Linked DNA regions of Kluyveromyces lactis. The protein of the gene in region 4 interacts with the protein of the main gene of each other region in a pairwise test. Links are inferred from orthologs where the notes say so. Each region holds a gene or a part of one and is shown on either strand. Other genes may lie near its edges.

Evidence for each region. The genes of interacting proteins can lie anywhere in the genome.
Region 1: the proteins of KLLA0_B05709g (region 4) and SFH1 interact in a two-hybrid assay, tested with the Saccharomyces cerevisiae proteins (2 studies listed by BioGRID). The link is inferred for Kluyveromyces lactis from reciprocal best matches to the Saccharomyces cerevisiae genes YLR345W and SFH1.
Region 2: the proteins of KLLA0_B05709g (region 4) and PRP45 interact in binary tests that used the Saccharomyces cerevisiae proteins (3 or more experiments, as listed by UniProt). The link is inferred for Kluyveromyces lactis from reciprocal best matches to the Saccharomyces cerevisiae genes YLR345W and PRP45.
Region 3: the proteins of KLLA0_B05709g (region 4) and MTR3 interact in a two-hybrid assay, tested with the Saccharomyces cerevisiae proteins (3 studies listed by BioGRID). The link is inferred for Kluyveromyces lactis from reciprocal best matches to the Saccharomyces cerevisiae genes YLR345W and MTR3.
Region 5: the proteins of KLLA0_B05709g (region 4) and KLLA0_F23078g interact in a two-hybrid assay, tested with the Saccharomyces cerevisiae proteins (2 studies listed by BioGRID, with this or other methods). The link is inferred for Kluyveromyces lactis from reciprocal best matches to the Saccharomyces cerevisiae genes YLR345W and YLR257W.

Annotation. Positions count from the first base shown.
Region 1 is NC_006039.1:1,628,582-1,631,974, reverse strand, and holds SFH1 (Sfh1p), read left to right. Parts: upstream 1-1,169; coding exon 1,170-2,498; downstream 2,499-3,393. Other genes in the region: EFB1 (translation elongation factor 1 subunit beta), read right to left, coding at 1-77, 368-447; NKP2 (Nkp2p), read left to right, coding at 2,795-3,250; TAD3 (Tad3p), read right to left, coding at 3,256-3,393. UniProt on the Saccharomyces cerevisiae protein: Component of the chromatin structure-remodeling complex (RSC), which is involved in transcription regulation and nucleosome positioning. RSC is responsible for the transfer of a histone octamer from a nucleosome core particle to naked DNA.
Region 2 is NC_006042.1:223,854-227,286, forward strand, and holds PRP45 (mRNA splicing protein PRP45), read right to left. Parts: upstream 2,189-3,433; coding exon 896-2,188; downstream 1-895. Other genes in the region: RNA-binding protein POP5, read left to right, coding at 176-820; protein phosphatase regulator GIP4, read right to left, coding at 2,372-3,433. UniProt on the Saccharomyces cerevisiae protein: Involved in pre-mRNA splicing. Associated with the spliceosome throughout the splicing reactions, until after the second catalytic step.
Region 3 is NC_006042.1:1,688,292-1,691,041, forward strand, and holds MTR3 (exosome non-catalytic core subunit MTR3), read right to left. Parts: upstream 1,607-2,750; coding exon 896-1,606; downstream 1-895. Other genes in the region: CHO2 (phosphatidylethanolamine N-methyltransferase), read left to right, coding at 1-714.
Region 4 is NC_006038.1:513,606-517,919, forward strand, and holds KLLA0_B05709g (bifunctional fructose-2,6-bisphosphate 2-phosphatase/6-phosphofructo-2-kinase), read right to left. Parts: upstream 2,460-4,314; coding exon 816-2,459; downstream 1-815. Other genes in the region: CAX4 (dolichyldiphosphatase), read left to right, coding at 1-669; KLLA0_B05742g (60S ribosomal protein uL24), read right to left, coding at 2,957-3,321, 3,937-3,955. UniProt on the Saccharomyces cerevisiae protein: Synthesis and degradation of fructose 2,6-bisphosphate.
Region 5 is NC_006042.1:2,142,383-2,145,412, forward strand, and holds KLLA0_F23078g (uncharacterized protein), read left to right. Parts: upstream 1-1,235; coding exon 1,236-2,135; downstream 2,136-3,030. Other genes in the region: AIP5 (Aip5p), read left to right, coding at 2,701-3,030.

The DNA.
Region 1 (3,393 bases), on a different chromosome or scaffold from region 4:
TGAACCATCTAGAGAATTCTGGGTAAGTAGATTGGAAAGCCTTGAAAGCAGAGACGTCAGCTTGAGTAGCAGAGGTACTATATTGATGCAATTGTTAGTTAGTAAAATGGAAAGAACAAAAAAATGAAATTTTTTTGTATGGCAGCTAAGCTTGCTTGCTGAAAAGAGAATTCAATAAAAAAGATAAATCAGAATCGTACTGTCTAGGTACTGTCTCTTTGTCACTCATACCGGGGGTCTTACTTCCCGTCATAAACACGGACCAAAGAATTTGTTCATCATTGAAATAGTAAACTTTGAAGAATTCTCTTATTCAAAAAACTGCTTGATGCCATTGGAAAACCACCACTATAATTATTTCACATACCCTTCAATGTAAGACTTGTCAGCCAAGAAAGTGTTCAACTTTTGCAAGGTTTCGACCTTGGAGAAATCAGAGAAAGACATCGTTAATGGATAGTTAAACCTGGTGAGAGAAGAAACTAGGAAAGAATCAATTCCTCTTCTTCTTCTTACAAGGAACGTTGAATCAAATTGACGAAAAAAAAATACTGAAAAGCTGATGAAAAACTCTAATTCGAAAAGTTCCAATATATATATATATATATTTATGAGATATATGATATGTAAGACGTATGTACTATGGAATTATGGCATCTACGTGTATTCAAAGTGCATGCAATGTGCGGTGGAAGAAAATTTTTTTTCTTCCTTGTAAGTGCGATGAGATAGATACTGGAAAGGCAACAGCAGAAAACAGGGCACGCTGCGGCGTGCCCTGCGACAATTTGAGAAAAACCAAGTTTATTTTCAAAAATCATGGGTCCACCCCTTTGAAAAACGATTTTGCCATAGTAAATGGTTCCAAAACGGTACGGATTTTTCTGAGAAAGTGTTCTTTTTTTCATTTTTTTCAAACTGGATTCCTTTTCTTTTGACAAGTGAAATGTTTACTCAGGGTAACACTTAGATTGTTCAATCAACTCATCACTGTATACGAATATGAAAAAGTATCCATCAATTCAAGAATAGAAGTGCAAGTTCGTGTTTTAGGGCTGGTTGAATAAAGACTATGATAGTGTTACTACAAACAAACGGTTTACTCATTGAAGCGTGCTGATATACAGCAGACAAAGCAACTACGACCTGCCTCCCAAAATTGTATTGATATGTCGCTCGTACCGCAAGCCTACTTGAGTAACTTCCATAATAGAGTGAAGAACGAGGATGTTCCGTTGTTTACTGCTGCGCAGTTATCGAGAAACAAGAGGGGTAAACAGGTGAACTACGCTGAGTTCGATACGGATCTCTTGGATGAATTCATCGACAAGAACGATGAGGATGATTTGGAGGATGATGTGGACGATTCGGATGGTCGTCGTAGGGGTGGGGACTACTATGATCAAGTAGACGGTAGTGATGGAGGTGCTGCGGCTGCTGCCGCCACCGCCGCCGCAGCGGCGGGACTCGGTGAAGATGGTGGCATTGGTGAGGGCACGCCCGGGTCTGGTGACCCCGGTGCTGTCACTGGCGGAACGCCGGCTGCAGATACTGGGCCAGACGGTACAAACGATGGTACTGCAGGAACGTCAAATCCTAGCTCAGAATTGGATCGCATCAAACTAAACGACTTGCCCGACCTTGAAAGTCAGGATGATTCTGCCACTCCGCTAGCTTTGTTGAAATATCCTAGGATTAGGGAAACTTTCGTGCAAAGTAGGATCGCTATCAGTTATAAAGACCTTCTTGGAGATTCTATCCAGGATCCGCAGCAAGTGGATATAGAAAGCCCGATAATGGTTCCAATACGGTTAAACGTTGAATTCAGTGGACACAAGTTAGCAGATTTTTTCATGTGGAATTTGAACGACCATTCGATGACTCCAGAACAGTTTGCTACGATCTTGTGCCAGGATCTTGATTTCCCAGTGCTTTCCAACCCAAATAATTCCCCATATACACAGATTATCTCTATGATTAACGAACAATTACAAGAATATGAAACATTGGCATCTTTACAGGTTCCTGATTTACACGTGATAATAAATTTGACTGCAAATCTCGATTCCAAGCTTTATGATGACACTTTTGAATGGAACCTTAATGACGATTCATTATGCCCAGAACAATTCGCAGAATTGGTGGTACAGGACCTGGGCTTGCAAAGAGAGTTCGTTCCTGCCATTGCACATTCGTTGCATGAATCCTTGCTAAAGGTAAAGAAGGATTGGCTCGAAGGTAATTTGAATTTGGCCCATGTAGAAAATAAGGCAGCTTTCGGTTACACATCAGGTATCCGTCTAGATATAGATACACTTGGCGCCTCATGGTTCCCTAAGGTAGAAGTCCTCTCACAATGGGAAATCGAAAAGCGTGAAATTGAAAAGGAGAGAAACATGAGAAGATTAAAGAGAGAAAGTGCCAAGGTCGATGACGGAAGATCCAGAAGAAGAGGCAAGAGGAGAATGGATGACTTGGAAACTACTTTGAGAATATAAGTGTGTTCTCTTTTCCGGCCAAGCAGTTTAACTTCACAGACGCCCATTAGACAAAGCTGTATAGAAAATAAAGTTCTCCATCTATTCGTGGAGATTTATGTATCATTAATGTATTAATACCACCGTCATCTGTGGTTTTGCACAAATACTCTTCCTTTTCGTCAGACTATTATTTATTTAGTCGCCAAAAATCTCCACAACAAATAGAAAAAGATCAAAGATCATCGCGAATCAGTAATGCGTACGCTGGGAATAATAAAAAGTACATACCCGAAATCCTTATTACTTCAATTACTATGCTCCACGAAGTATTATACAAGCATTTAGACGGCATTTTAGTCTCACGTTTGTATACTGAGGATCAGTTTGTTGATCTATTTTCTAGAACGATACCGGAATCCAACACTGTGATCGCGTCACAGTTATACAAAAGTTATGAAGAGAATGATCAACGGATCATTGAAAAAATAGATAAACTCATCGACAACAAGCTGTCTTTGATAAGAGTTGAGCTCGAACGGGAACAAATTGAAGACTCCATTTCTCTCGAGGAAGTAAATAAACTATTGCATAGCATTGATGATATGTTGCAGCAGCATTTAAATCAATTAAACATTGAACTAGATAATAAAAATACAAAACTTTTGAAATATGCAATGGAACTCAGTGACATTGAAGCAATAGATACTTCCATGTACGATAATGTTGCAAAATTAATAACGGACATGGAAACCAACCAACCTTCTAGTTGAAAAGCTCAAGAACACACGGTAGAATCTATTCCAGGCACTTCCAATTCTTCACCAACCCATTGGAAGACTTCATACTTGGAGTTCAAATCTTTGTTTGAATGCATGCAGTATCCATCACCTGAATCAGGTTTCAGTGCACCGCT
Region 2 (3,433 bases), on a different chromosome or scaffold from region 4:
TACGCCTTTTGTTATATAGAGAATGAATTATCTGATATTTACACAATCTGTTAGTTAAGGTTGGTGATGCGGCAATAATGCATAAAATATTGGACATGCTTGGCGTATTCTCGTTCTTCTTCTGTGACTTGAATGCGACAAACCAAAAAAAAAAAAAAAAAAAAAAAAAAGAGAGATGCTTCACATTACAAGATTTAGAGTTATGATGGAGATCAACTGTGAAGGAATCAAGATTTTGATAAAGGACGGTTGTGCAACAACGTTTATTCGGGGGTTTCATCCTACTATTAATAAAACTTGCTGTCATAATAGGCAAAATAGAAGAAATCCAATGGTTCGTTTAAAGAGCAGATACATTCTTTTCGAAGTACTATATCCAGATGTAGATGATGAGTACGAAACAGTGCCAGATATAACCAAGAAGGACATTTTAACCACGCATCACAAAGTATCACCAAATACTATCAGTCCGAGAAATATTTTGCAGGAACTACGAAAACAATTACAGGTGAATTTCGGGGACTATGGCTTGGGAAAGGCTACGGCTTTGTTACAGATCAAATACTTTTCGAATAGAACATCAACCGGTATAATACGATGTGGCCATGATGACCATCAGTACGTAATAATGGCACTTGCTTTGATGAACCAGATTGAATCTGTTGGGCCCATCATAATGAATCCAATAAAAGTTAGCGGAACTATTAAAAAAGTTGAGTTATTTGCTATCAGAAGAAGTCACCGTTTGAACCGAATACTTCTGACAGATGATAGGAATGATGAGTTTTCTTCAATCACTGACGATGAAAATAATGACTGATTCGCTGATTTCATTCAATTAGTAGTGCTTGAATATTATTACATACAATTATATCAGTATATCGGTATCGCACAATTAAGAAGTATGAGGCTTCTTACGCACTTGAAGACCGTATTCTCTGGCATGCTCGTTATCTTCCTCATTCTGTTCCGCATTTTTGCCATCATCAGCAGCGGAGAACTCTACCGGTCCAGTTCTTCCTTTCTTATTTGAGAGTCGATCAACAATATCTTCGTTTTCTAAGTTAGAACCAGTAGTTGGCCTGTAAATGTTGTCAATCTGGCTATTATTGAACAATGGATGGTCGAAAATTTGATTTGAAGATGATGCCACAGATGATGCCGCTTTCTTGAACAAGCGGGAATCGTACTGAAGATCTGGGGTCTCGGTGGCTTTTGCAGCATTTAAAACAACTTTATCAGAAACATCTCTTCCTTGTTGGTACGCCAATCGTCTTAACTTTTCTGCTGTGCTCATTTTATTCGACCGTTCCAATTCGCGTTCTGCTCTCCTACGTTGATTACGCTCCATTTCCCTAACATAATGATCTTCATTTTCGTACTGTCGCCTATTTTCCCTATCCTGTCTAGCACGTTCAGCTAAGTGACGTAACCTTTGTTCTTTTTTTAAAGTTTCTTCCTTCTCTAACTCCTTGTACGCCTCTTGCTTAATGTTGATTCTCTGTCTTGCTTCTCTTTCTGCTTCGTCTAGTGCCTCAGATAGCAGAAGGAAATTGTCCTTCTTATCATTATCTGGGCAGTCCGTCTTTATTGATTCAATAGCAACTCTATTATCCAAAGAAATAGCAAATCCGTTAGGATTCTTCCAGTTCGAAATGGCGGATGGAATTCTCCATTTATCAAGCTCTTCCTTTGTAGGTTTAATACTAGGGTCATCCGACTTATGAAGTATAGGCGCCTGAATTTCTTCCGATGGTACAACGACCTTCCTTTTCCTGTGTGTTACCGGTTGTAAAGGATCCTTCTTATGTTCTATTACTTTAACTGAACGTTGAGTACCAGATTTTACAGAGCTTATTGCTTCTCTTTTTACGATGTCCTTGTTCGCAATAGACGATAATTGTAGAGAGCTCTTTTTCGTTAGCAGCGAGTCTAGAAACGCCTTAGTCTTTACATATGTTTGATTAATCTGTGATGTCGATGGGAACGGTGCCTCTAGTGATATATCACGTTGTCTAAGAGGTACAAAGTCAGATATTGAGGCCACTGGTAGATTCTCCGGTCGTAGCTTGTCTAATATTATTGTATCCTTTATGTTTTCCTTAGATTGTCTAGAAAATGCTGAAGACTCGGAGACTTCTGAGTTTTGCGGACTCGGTAGCAATGAGCTGAGTGTCCTGAATGACATGTCAGACCGTTCTAGTGGTGTTATAACAGGTTTGTTCCTATGTTTCAAGCCTTACCTACTTTACTTTATAAATTATGGGAATGTTCAATAGTTAAATATTTTCTCTAAATTTCAAATACATTGTTAAAAGTTGATATTATAATGGAAATAAGTTCACTGCAAATAGAAATTAAAAGATTCTTTCTATTTAAACAGTTTATCCTTGATTTTACCCACTATTTTAGTATCCGCCCCTTGACCTGATGAGTACATGCTGTCAAAACCGAACTTTTTATCAGAACCTTGGTCTCTGGAGATCAAACTTGTGCGAAATGCAAGACCCTCTTGAGTTGTTCTGAATTTTTGAAGTGAGTGCTGTGCAGGTGGAGGTGGATAATGCAACACGGCAGGCTTCTTGTACCATCCGCGTCTTTTAGGCTCAGGGTTTTCATCTTGTGACATAGGCGGAACCCCTATAAATCTCACCTTTTTCACAATACCTTCAACTTCGCTGTCGTTGTTTGAAGACGACTGATTGTCATCGGCAACAGAAACTATGATCTTAGGAGTTTCACTACCTTCTGGAGATAACACTTCCTGAGAGACGATTAGAGTATCATCGTCCAGCTTCAGATCGTGGAATTTCTCATTGATGTCATCTTCGTCTACTTCATTTAGCTTCAATATGTTCACTTTGTTCCTCTGTTTTACGGAATTCTGCCGTGACACAGTTGGAGAAGGTGATTTTGATCTTATAGAATTATTCAGCTTTGTTGGTGTTAGTCTTGGGCCTCTTTTCTCATTTAACGAGAGTAATGCTTTTGAATATGCATTCTGTACAATTCTTTGTGTATTCAGAGAACCTGATTGAAGAGAATTGGATCTCATACCATTCCGAGCAGTGGAAGTATCTTCAAGACTTGATACTGATTGCAATGATGACGATCTGTTTCTTGTTCTGACTGATCTGGTCTTTTTAGCCGATATATTAGACTTCGCATCAGTGAAAGGTATTGGTGATGATGGGGACCTTGATTCTTCTGACCGCGAAACTGAAGATGTCCGGCTCAGTCTTAAAGGCGATAAAATATTTGGAGAAACGTTTAATGAGGAAGAATTTGAAGTTATGGAAGATGAAGATGATGTGTTTTTTTGTGAAAGACTGGAATTCTTTTTTTCCTCCCTTTGTCTTTCTTGTTCCTTTATTTTTTCGTTGTATGCTAGTTCATCTACAGCTAACTTTTCCTCCGCCATCTTTGCCATCTC
Region 3 (2,750 bases), on a different chromosome or scaffold from region 4:
GAATCGATTATCAATATGCTTTTGATTAGAGAGCAAACGGTGAAAAATTTGCAAGGCACCGGCCACTTTAACTTGGATATCGTCAACATCAATGACGAAAATACGATTCGGATTCCAGAAGAAATCGAAATCAAATGGGCCGTTACCAATGAAGCTTTCCACAAAGATGACTGGATTGGACTTTACAAAGTCGTTGAAACTGGTGAAGATAGATTAACTACAAAGATACCATCTCAAGGACATTGGTCGGCGGTATCTTCGAGCTCTTCATATTCTGAAGATCATCAGAAGATTTTGCATTTCGATTCAAATGACCATTTCACTTATGGATCTATAAAATTCGATAAGAGTATCCTTTGCTTTGAAGAAGGTATTTATGAATTTAGATACCACAGTGCTAACAGTCACGATGTTGTTATGATCTCGAAACCTTTCAAGTTATTATTCCCTCAATTTAAAGAAACTGTAAAAGACGTGGACCAATTAATTGCTACCACGAAGCAGTTCTTGAAACAATGTGGTGTTCTAATCAATGATAATAAATTTGATTTGAATAGGAACAAATATTTCACTGGGAAAACATTACAAAACTGGTATAAGTCTACTATGGACACCGATGTTTCCGTTGTTTACATGAAACGTACCAATTTTGATATCGATATTATCACCAAAAAAGTATGGCAAATCAAGCAAGTGTTAGATAACTTGGAATAAATCGCATTCTATTGTACTTAACTATATCTAAAGTATCAACCCATGTATAAATAGGATATGTTTCTAACGAATCCTCACCCTTAATGGTAAAGCCTTGTATATTTTTATTTTGCTAATACAGAAGAAGCGTTCGTGTCACATTAATTATGAATCACTATGAAATTACGTTAACCATTTCATTTCATTTAAGATATTGAACCAAAGTCTGCTTATTTACCAAATATTTTGCCTTGCACTCTTCTATTAATTTTGATATGTCAGTGACGTTATCGTCATCGCTCCAAATACCGACGATTTCATGTCCATTCCTAATAAACGCAACCACAGAGTTATCTTTTGACCCGGCACTCACTAAATCAATGATTTCAATACCTGCGTCTACAAGAGCCATGGTAATAGAATTAATGCATGTGGGTAGAATATTAACGATATTTGCCTCCTCTGTTGGATTACTATTAGAATGCTGGATCAAATCTATAAAGATATCAATACCAGATTTTGGATACTTCTCAACGTTTATCACCGCATTAAAGACATTTGTTAGGAAAGTACAAATTTCTTTAATTTCTCCGGTATTCAAATGTTCTAACGTAACTTCTTTGAACTGAATCGATACTGATGCCTTAGATTGGAAGGAGCCTCGCAATGGCCTGGGTCCGAAGACAGAACTCATTACGAGAACTTGATCCGAAGTACCATCCATATATTCTAGGTATGAGGAACCATTTGCATTCGTTACTAAATCCGTACTAATGAACACAGATTCCTTACCCGATTTATTACCATTACCATCGTCCCTGTTCTCTACGGTTCTTACAGGAGTAATTGCAGCAAACTGCAATGGCTTCGCTTCTGCTGGCCCTAATATTCTTCTTCTATCTTGCACACTCATTAATAGACCTCTCTTCTGTGGGTATTAGTTTAATATAACGATGGGAAACAAACTCAAGTAAATATATGCTGATATGGCACTAGCCAACGTCAACTTGGAAGCATCTCATCGCATGTATATTCACTTGCAAAACGGTCACTAACAGAATACCACGATTGAAATAGTCGAGATGGAAAAATTCTAACGTCATCACGTGATAATATATATGTGTTTCCTATTTGTTTCCCGTTTGTTTCCGTACCGTACTTGTTTCCAAATTATCGGCAGGCAGCATTGGAACTTTTTTACAAATCAACCGACGATCAGTACGTGTGAAATGATTTCTAAACAGAAGAAGTGGCTGTCGCCCGGTATTGTCAAACCAGTAAATAGTAATAGATCCGTATTTCTGAAAAAGAGTCGTGTACTAGCTTTCGGCTCATCACCTCATACGTCAGAAGGAAACGGAGAGAACTGCTTTGTGAAGTTATATAACCACGTGACTAACTGGTGTTTCTCATATGTTTCTCATATGTTTCCAAACAGCACTTGTTTCCGGTTCATGCCAGGTGACCGTTTTCGCAAACCGGTGGAGGGGCAGACGGAGACCCCCCCCTCACAACCTGGGATTTGGCAACTAAAACACCCCACTCTAACCCGCCTTGCCAGTCGTACATACAAAAGCCAGTATCGTTTCTGGGTGTATCATCAAGACAAAGTCAGAAGCTATTCACTTGGACCAGATCGAAAGCCGAACCCTCGCTAATGCTCTCACCAGAAGCTCTTTCATGCATAGGTTTCAAGAATCAAGGCAAGTCATTCGTTCATTGGTTGAACCACCGAAGAAAAGGATGACCAAAGTACATTTTTGAATTAAACCGACTCTGTTAGTGTAACGTTTCTTCCAGGCATCTGGCAGAAATTATAAAGATTTTTGATATTACACCCCACCAATAGCCCAGGACTCTGATTAAAATCAAACTACTCTGCGAATATTGCTCAAAGTCTAACCATATAACTTGGAATGTCCATTGATTCAAACAAGTTGCAGTAGGACAGAATATCATGAATGACAGTTAACCTACAATCTTTTTTCTTGAACAAAAACTAACAATCTAAGAGAGATTGAATCGTAAAAACAAGAACATCAAGGCAGAAAGCCGTT
Region 4 (4,314 bases):
AAGATCCCGTTTGATGATACTTATATTTTATATGACCCGAATGATCTATTTTCGTTCATCTGTTGTTATCTTTCACTTCTGCCTGTTGGCATATTAGTGTTTTACTTCTCCTGGTTCATTATTACTCGTGAGATCGAAGCTGTTATATTAGCGGGAGGGCATGTAGTGAATGACATTGCCAATAACATCATCAAAAACATCATCAAGGAAACGAGGCCAATTGATTTTGGTTCTTTTCAAAAGGATTCTGTGAGATCAGGTTATGGTATGCCAAGTGCTCATTCCCAGTTTATGGGATTCTTCACCATGTATATAGGCCTCCGTATCTGGTGCCAATGGGGTGGCTTGAATAAATCACATAAAATTCTAGCAAGTTTTGGTTTGTTACTTGCCTCTAGCGGTGTAGTAGTATCACGCGTCTATTTAGGCTATCACACTCTGAAACAAGTTTTAGTGGGTGTTTCAATTGGCGCTTTATTAGGAACATGCCACTTCTTAGCCTCTACCATAGTCAGATACATTGGGCTAGTAGACTGGTTCTTATCTTGGAGGATTGTACAATGGTTTTTGATCAAGGATTCATGCTTCCAGGCTCCTTTTAGTTTGAAAGATGAGTACAACGCCTATTTACAGAGAAGACAACTAAGCATCAAAGCGAAAAGCGATTGACAAATTGGAAGGAAACCACAGATAGAATGTTAACAATTAACACCAGTTTATTTGCTTTACTAGGAGTCACAAGTATTCCGCTATGATCTTGCATTATTTTAATATAATTGATATACCTATTTATATGAACATAATATAAACCTTAATTAATCCATCACAATTGGAATCCTGTTCACTTTATTTTCGAATGGTCCGAATGAGATTTCAATCAATTCATCACGGGTGAACGTTAGTCTTGGTATCTCAGAACAGGAAAAAGCCATCAAATAACCGTATAACACCCTTAAAGTAGATTCATGACCAATGATAAGAATATCACCGCACATTCTTTCCATCTCAAGTAGAAGTGGCTCCATTCTCACAGCAAGATCATGATATGATTCAGCTCTTGAAAATCTGAAATGGTATGGATCCCTTAAGTATTCTTCATATTCGCTTGGGAACTTTTCTCTGATTTCTTCATCAGTCATGTCAGCAACAACACCTGGATGTAGTTGTTGCAATTGATTTCTCTGCCTTACAGTAATGCCCAGATCAGCAAAGTATTTTGCCGTATCGTACGTTCTCTTCCTTGGTGCCGTCCACACCACGAAGGAGTCGTCATCAACACCATCCCCACTAGCAGGTTGCCTATACATAGCGTTACCAGTTGATTCAGTCCGTTTCAATGATGCACTCGTAGCAATCAACGGTGATTTTGATCTTTCATTTAGGGAGACCAGAGACGGTGTCCTTGGAACGTCTGCTCCGTCATCATTAGCGTTAAGTCTTCTTCTGTTGACCAAGTCCAATACAAGGTCTGTCAATATTCTGGAATATTCCAAGCCTTCTCCGTTTAACTCTTCATCGTCGATGTACTTATCTTTAACACTTGTTCCACAACGAGCGAAATAGACACAGCCTCTCTTATCACGAAGGTTCATTAAGAAGAAGACAATCTTGTTAATCAAATAGCCATAGTTATTATTGTTCACGGTCAACTTCTCACCGAAGTTGATATACTTAACGTAGCTCAACTTTTCTTCTGGGCTCATTTCTTGATACAAATATTTATTGGCTTGGAGTCTTTCCATATAATCTTCTTCAGCCCTCTTAAGGACCCACCCTTTATAGTCTTCGGATTTTATAGCCAAATCGACGTTCCTCTTTTGTAAGACTGGGTCTGTCACCACTGATTCGATAAATAGAACTTTGATGTGTAACTTACCAAAAGCTTGTTCTATAGATGACCTATCATCTTTCAAAATATTCAGAGCATCATAAACAGCCAACTGGCCCTTCTTCTCGTCGAAAAATTCAGTCATATCTTGAATCATCTTACTTAATATCTCTTTCCTGTACTGAATTCCTTCCTTGGAGGTCGGTTTTGCGGAGAAGTAATCATCGGGTACCTCCCCCTTTTCAGCTCTAATCTTCTCTCTTCTATACTCCGAGACATGGAAAGACCTTGTACGAACCCCTAACCATCTAGTATATCTAGTAATAGCAACCGACAACAACGTTTTGGAGGTAGCTGGGAGGCCTACTAACACAATAAGTATCTTACCGGCATGGAACAAACGTCCTGATTCTGTCGAATATAATTGGCCCGGGGAAATATAATCCTTAGCAACATCAGTATGAACCCCATCGATGAGTTTATTAATAACCTTAGGCCTTTTTTCTGTAGAGCCACTAGACCATCTTTTCCTGGTCCTTGCCATGTGGTTTCCAGGAACCGGCTTTGTGATTACTACCTCGGACCCTAATCCATTTATCAATTCATCGTCATCAGATACAATCGCTGACATTGTTTATTAATGCAATCTTTACTTTGAGAAACAGTTTCAAACTTGGTACAAAAATGACTTTGCAATATACCAGCAGTTGCCCTTATAGATCAATGTAATCACCAGCTACCAGCTTTATTCACTACGTCTGGTGTCCGGTTTCTCCAGGTTCTTTACCTGATATGTTTACTCAAAACTAATAGCTATACTGACTGACTCCGCTGAAATTTTCGATTTCCTAAAAATCATGTTTCTATGGACTTATCAAAGGGTAGACTTAGTGAAAGAATGGGAAAAAGCGGAGGAAGAAGAAGAAGAAGAAGAAGAAGAAGAAGAAGAAGAAGAAGAAGAAGAGCGAGTGGGTTTAATCAATGAATGATTGTCCAATTGGTCGATATATACGGAAAATACCCGTTTTGTGTATTTAATTTCAAAAATGTGAGGATTACACTTATATAAGACTAGTGAACATGATTATAGAAGATAATATTTGATATATGAAAATCTTAACAACCAGTTTATTCCAATTTACCACCCTTTCTTTGGATCAAGGCCTTTCTGTCCTTGTCCAAGTGCAACTTGGTGATGACGACCTTGGATGGGTGGATGTTGGTTGGGACGGAAGCACCGTTAGACTTTTCCTTGGTCAACTTGTCAACTTGGACAGCGAACTTCAATCTGTAGACAGAGGAAACCTTACCTTCTTGACCCTTCTTGGAACCACGAACAACCAAGACTTCGTCTTCCTTTCTGATTGGCAAAGCCTTGATGTTGTATTGTTCTCTCAATTCTTTGGACAAAGGAGCGGACAACAACACACGACGTTCAGAGGATGGGGCAGTGAAGTAAGCCTTTCTGGCCTTTCTTCTGTCAGAGGAAACGTCTGTGAAGAAAAACGTGAAACGTACTTGTACGACGGAATATCATCATACAATCGTTATAAGAGAAATGTTAGTAAAAAAATAGAACACTTTTTAAAGGAAATGGGTTAATAGGAAAAAGTGTGCCCTTGAGTGTTATTTTCCAGTTTGAATGTTGAAATCTGTACGACTTGTTGGTGAGCCCACAGGACGTGTTCTCTAAAGCTCAAACCCCTGGAGTACTATATTCATTTTCCGAATTCCCTCATATAAACATCCCTCCAATACCCATCAATAGTCACATGGAGTCATCAACATTTCGTTCCGTTTAATTCCGCTGCTTAGGATCTTGCGTATTTATCATTCCTTGTTCTGTACTTCTCGATAATCCTTTCTAGAGTCAACTTAGACATCACAACAAAATTAAGTGTACCAAAGAAACATCTAAATTTCTAGCGATAAAAATTATATCCCGTTGCCGTGAAATAGTATTATTGTTCATATACGTTCATAGTTCTTGTTGCTTTACTATAGCTTAATCAAATCCACTTTTAAATCGTCATAAAGAAATATTGTAATAACATCACACTTTGTTTCCAATTTCCACCCTTTATTTTATCAGACCTTGTGCCACATACCTAGAGATTGCTTAGCCATTGTATTCGATCTGGTTTCTTGTGCCTTGCTACTATGCTCCAATCACTAATAACACCTCATTATACAGCTATATAATTCAATATACATTTGTTATTTCAACAATATCAAATGATGATAGCTTCCGAGAAACTGGTGAAACTGGTGAACCTCGATGAGCCAGGGTGAAGCCAGGCGAGCGGAGAGGATGCCATAGGGCGTAAACAAGTTTCAGGCTGGAAGGGACTATGCAGTGCCGCAGAACTGAGGCCAAAGGGCACTGTCGTGGATAGGAAGGAGGCCAGGCTCGCGAATGGGGCAAGAGTGCCAAGGAGGGGTACTGGAGGTGGGTGCAGGGATGAGACTAGGCTGGGAACCCCTAT
Region 5 (3,030 bases), on a different chromosome or scaffold from region 4:
ACTTCGAACATCGGCACAACTACTTAGATCGTGCGTATACTGGAATTCGCTTTTGCAGGAACGGCCGATAGAGCCAAAAAAATTTCTGTTCAAAATCTGACTTTAACCAGAGAAGTCATCCAGAACATGTACGGAATAATTCTTTCTCAGATGTAGGAACCGCATGAACGTAAGAATGCCGTAATCTTGTCAAAACGCTATGTGGAACAATGTTTGACTAGAACAACATCCTAATAATCCCCTCTCAATAACCTTCACTTTTGACTATTTTGTGTTTATAGTGTAACAATTTCAGCTTCAACTATATCTAGTTCAATTAAACTTTGCTTCATGTGATATTTATTAGCTCATTAAGGTTGATGAAATTTACATTAACACATCAAAAACTACTAAGCATCGGTGGTTTAGTGGTAAAATCCAACGTTGCCATCGTTGGGCCCCGGGTTCGATTCCCGGCCGATGCATTCTTTTTATCCCCCCTTTCTCTTGATAACTTGTAAATTGTCGTAAACCATTCAAAGCAAGTTGAGCCGCGCTAGGAGCACTTTAAGCATTCCGGCACTGCTACGTTACACATATTTCCACAAATGCAATTTATTCCAATCTCACTCTTTCTACATCGTTTATCTAAAATTAAACATACTATATTGTAAACAAAGGAATTTCCGGTGCGATACTTGTAGATAATGGACTGTATACAAAAGTGTTTTGAACGGGGCCTTTTCTGAACCAAAAATCCATATCTTATCTAAGCAAAAGAATAAACAAGCTTGTTTGTATGTGAGCATATCAAGAAACATTATCTGATCTCCGACGCGCACATATACACATGTGGTGTATGATAACCGACTATAATCCTATAAATCCTTTATCCTTTCTTCCCTGTTATGATCTCCTGATAGAACTTAAATGCTCTCTGTCCGGTGGCTACTAGCAATCTTAAACGGGACTGAAGATTAAATAGGCATATTACCCGGAAAACTCTATTAGGGTAAAATTTAGTAGGTTTTCATCGATTGCCTCATATTTCAAGAAAGTGGGACTTTTGTTCCAATAAGTCATACTGGCTATATATATATACGTCTTCACTATATTGTAAATTCTTCATTGGTGTCGTTGATAAAGTACAATTGATCTGGAATATATCTTCTGAGATCAGTAAATCTCTGCAGTCATTTCCGTTTTTTTAACGAATTATCTCGCAAATATTAGACCATCCTTTTAAATCAGGGATTATGAGCGAACAACCGAGTTTAGTGGGTCATTCTGTCCGTGATATTGATGATAGTGAGAATCCGGACTTCGTTCCAGAAAAAATGCCTGATTTCAGCCAACTGAATGAATCTGTGAGGAGATTGAATTTGAAAAACTCTTCTCCTGACGATAGTGACCAATACACTTCTGTTGCAGAATTGAATAAGGAAGGCGCACTTTTGACCGATGATCAGGATGTAGATTTAGATGACATAATTGCCAAAGGATTGGATGACATTAGTGAATTGAAATCATCTTTGGAGAATAAGAAAAAGATTAAGAACAAAAAAAAGACAAAGAAGTCTTCTTCGAGTGGCTCCTTATCGCAAGATTTCAGTTACTCAATTTCGCCAGTGCATTCAGGTACCGTAGATTCCCTTGTGACCAGCACTGACCCAATTGACGATAACATTGTTGCTCCTACCGCTGGCGATTTAACTGACGGAGGTAAGTCAAGGGCCAGATCGACAAACAAAACCGAGAAACGAGCTAGTGTTACGTCAGACTCCAGCCATTCAGTGATAAGGAACTCGTATGGTGAGATCATTAATGATAACTCTGAAAGGCCACACTTAGCTCGTGGTGATTCATACCAACAATCAGTAGATGATCTCGAAAATTCTGCTTCCAATGGTAGAAGCGGAAGATCAACCTCTAAAAGATTCCAAAACGACTACTTGCGTTCATTATCTCGTTCATTACAAAGAGATCATGCTGATCACAAAAGTGTTTCAGATGACACGGGCGTGCAAGCCCAAGATATTTATTCGACCACAAGCTATTCTATTTCCCAACGCTATGTGGAAAATGCACCTCATGTGATTCGTGAATCTCACGAGGAGCATACGGCGAGGCATCCTGCAGCCCCCCATAGAAACTAAGGCTTCAAGTGAGTCTACTAATCATGTTAGAGAAAACATCACCCAAGAAAATCAACTAGAAGAACCAGATGAACAAGAACAAGGACTCACAGAATCCCAACCTGAAACGGAGCAAGAGCTTTGCGAAACGAACATTGAACCCACCAGCCAAATTCCTGATATCACAGAGACTAACAGCGTTCCAGTCAAAACACGTGATCAATTTTTCTCTAAAATCCAAACCGATTCTTCTGATATTAAAGAACTCCAAGAATTATCAGATGAGGAGAGAGATATCAAAGACGAACATACATCTGAAATAAATCTGAAGGGAGCTATTGAAACTTCAACGTCTAGCCAAATAGGTGAGTATGAGTCACGTGCAGCCATAATCAATGATGAATCTATACGCGAGGCGAAACAGAATCAAGAATTGGAGTCCGTGGCATCAAATGATGAAGCTGGAAAAGGTATCGGTACCAATGATATCATTGACACAGCTGCATCCAAAAATTTTGTAGAAAATTTGGAGCAGGAGGACGACCAAAAGAAATTGAGAATTATCACTGAGGCCCCTGAACATGCCATGGATGAAGACGAAATTCCTATAACCAAAATAAGTCCGGACTCTGAAACATCGATTGAATACAAGGGTCCACAGGAATTGGGTCTACAAACATTGTCCACAGAAGAAAATGCACATTCTAAAGCCTCCACCATTGAGGCGTTGCCAGAAAGCAGAGCACTCAAGGATATTAATGAAGAGCAAACTCCTCAGAAGGGTTCCCTGGAAAAACCCGACCAAGTGGAAGAAGAACAGCCGAAGAACACCGAAAAGGGCTACGCTGACGACACATTATCTAATGAGACCGAATTTGCCGAGGAATCAATCGATCACTCTGAAAATTCAGAAATA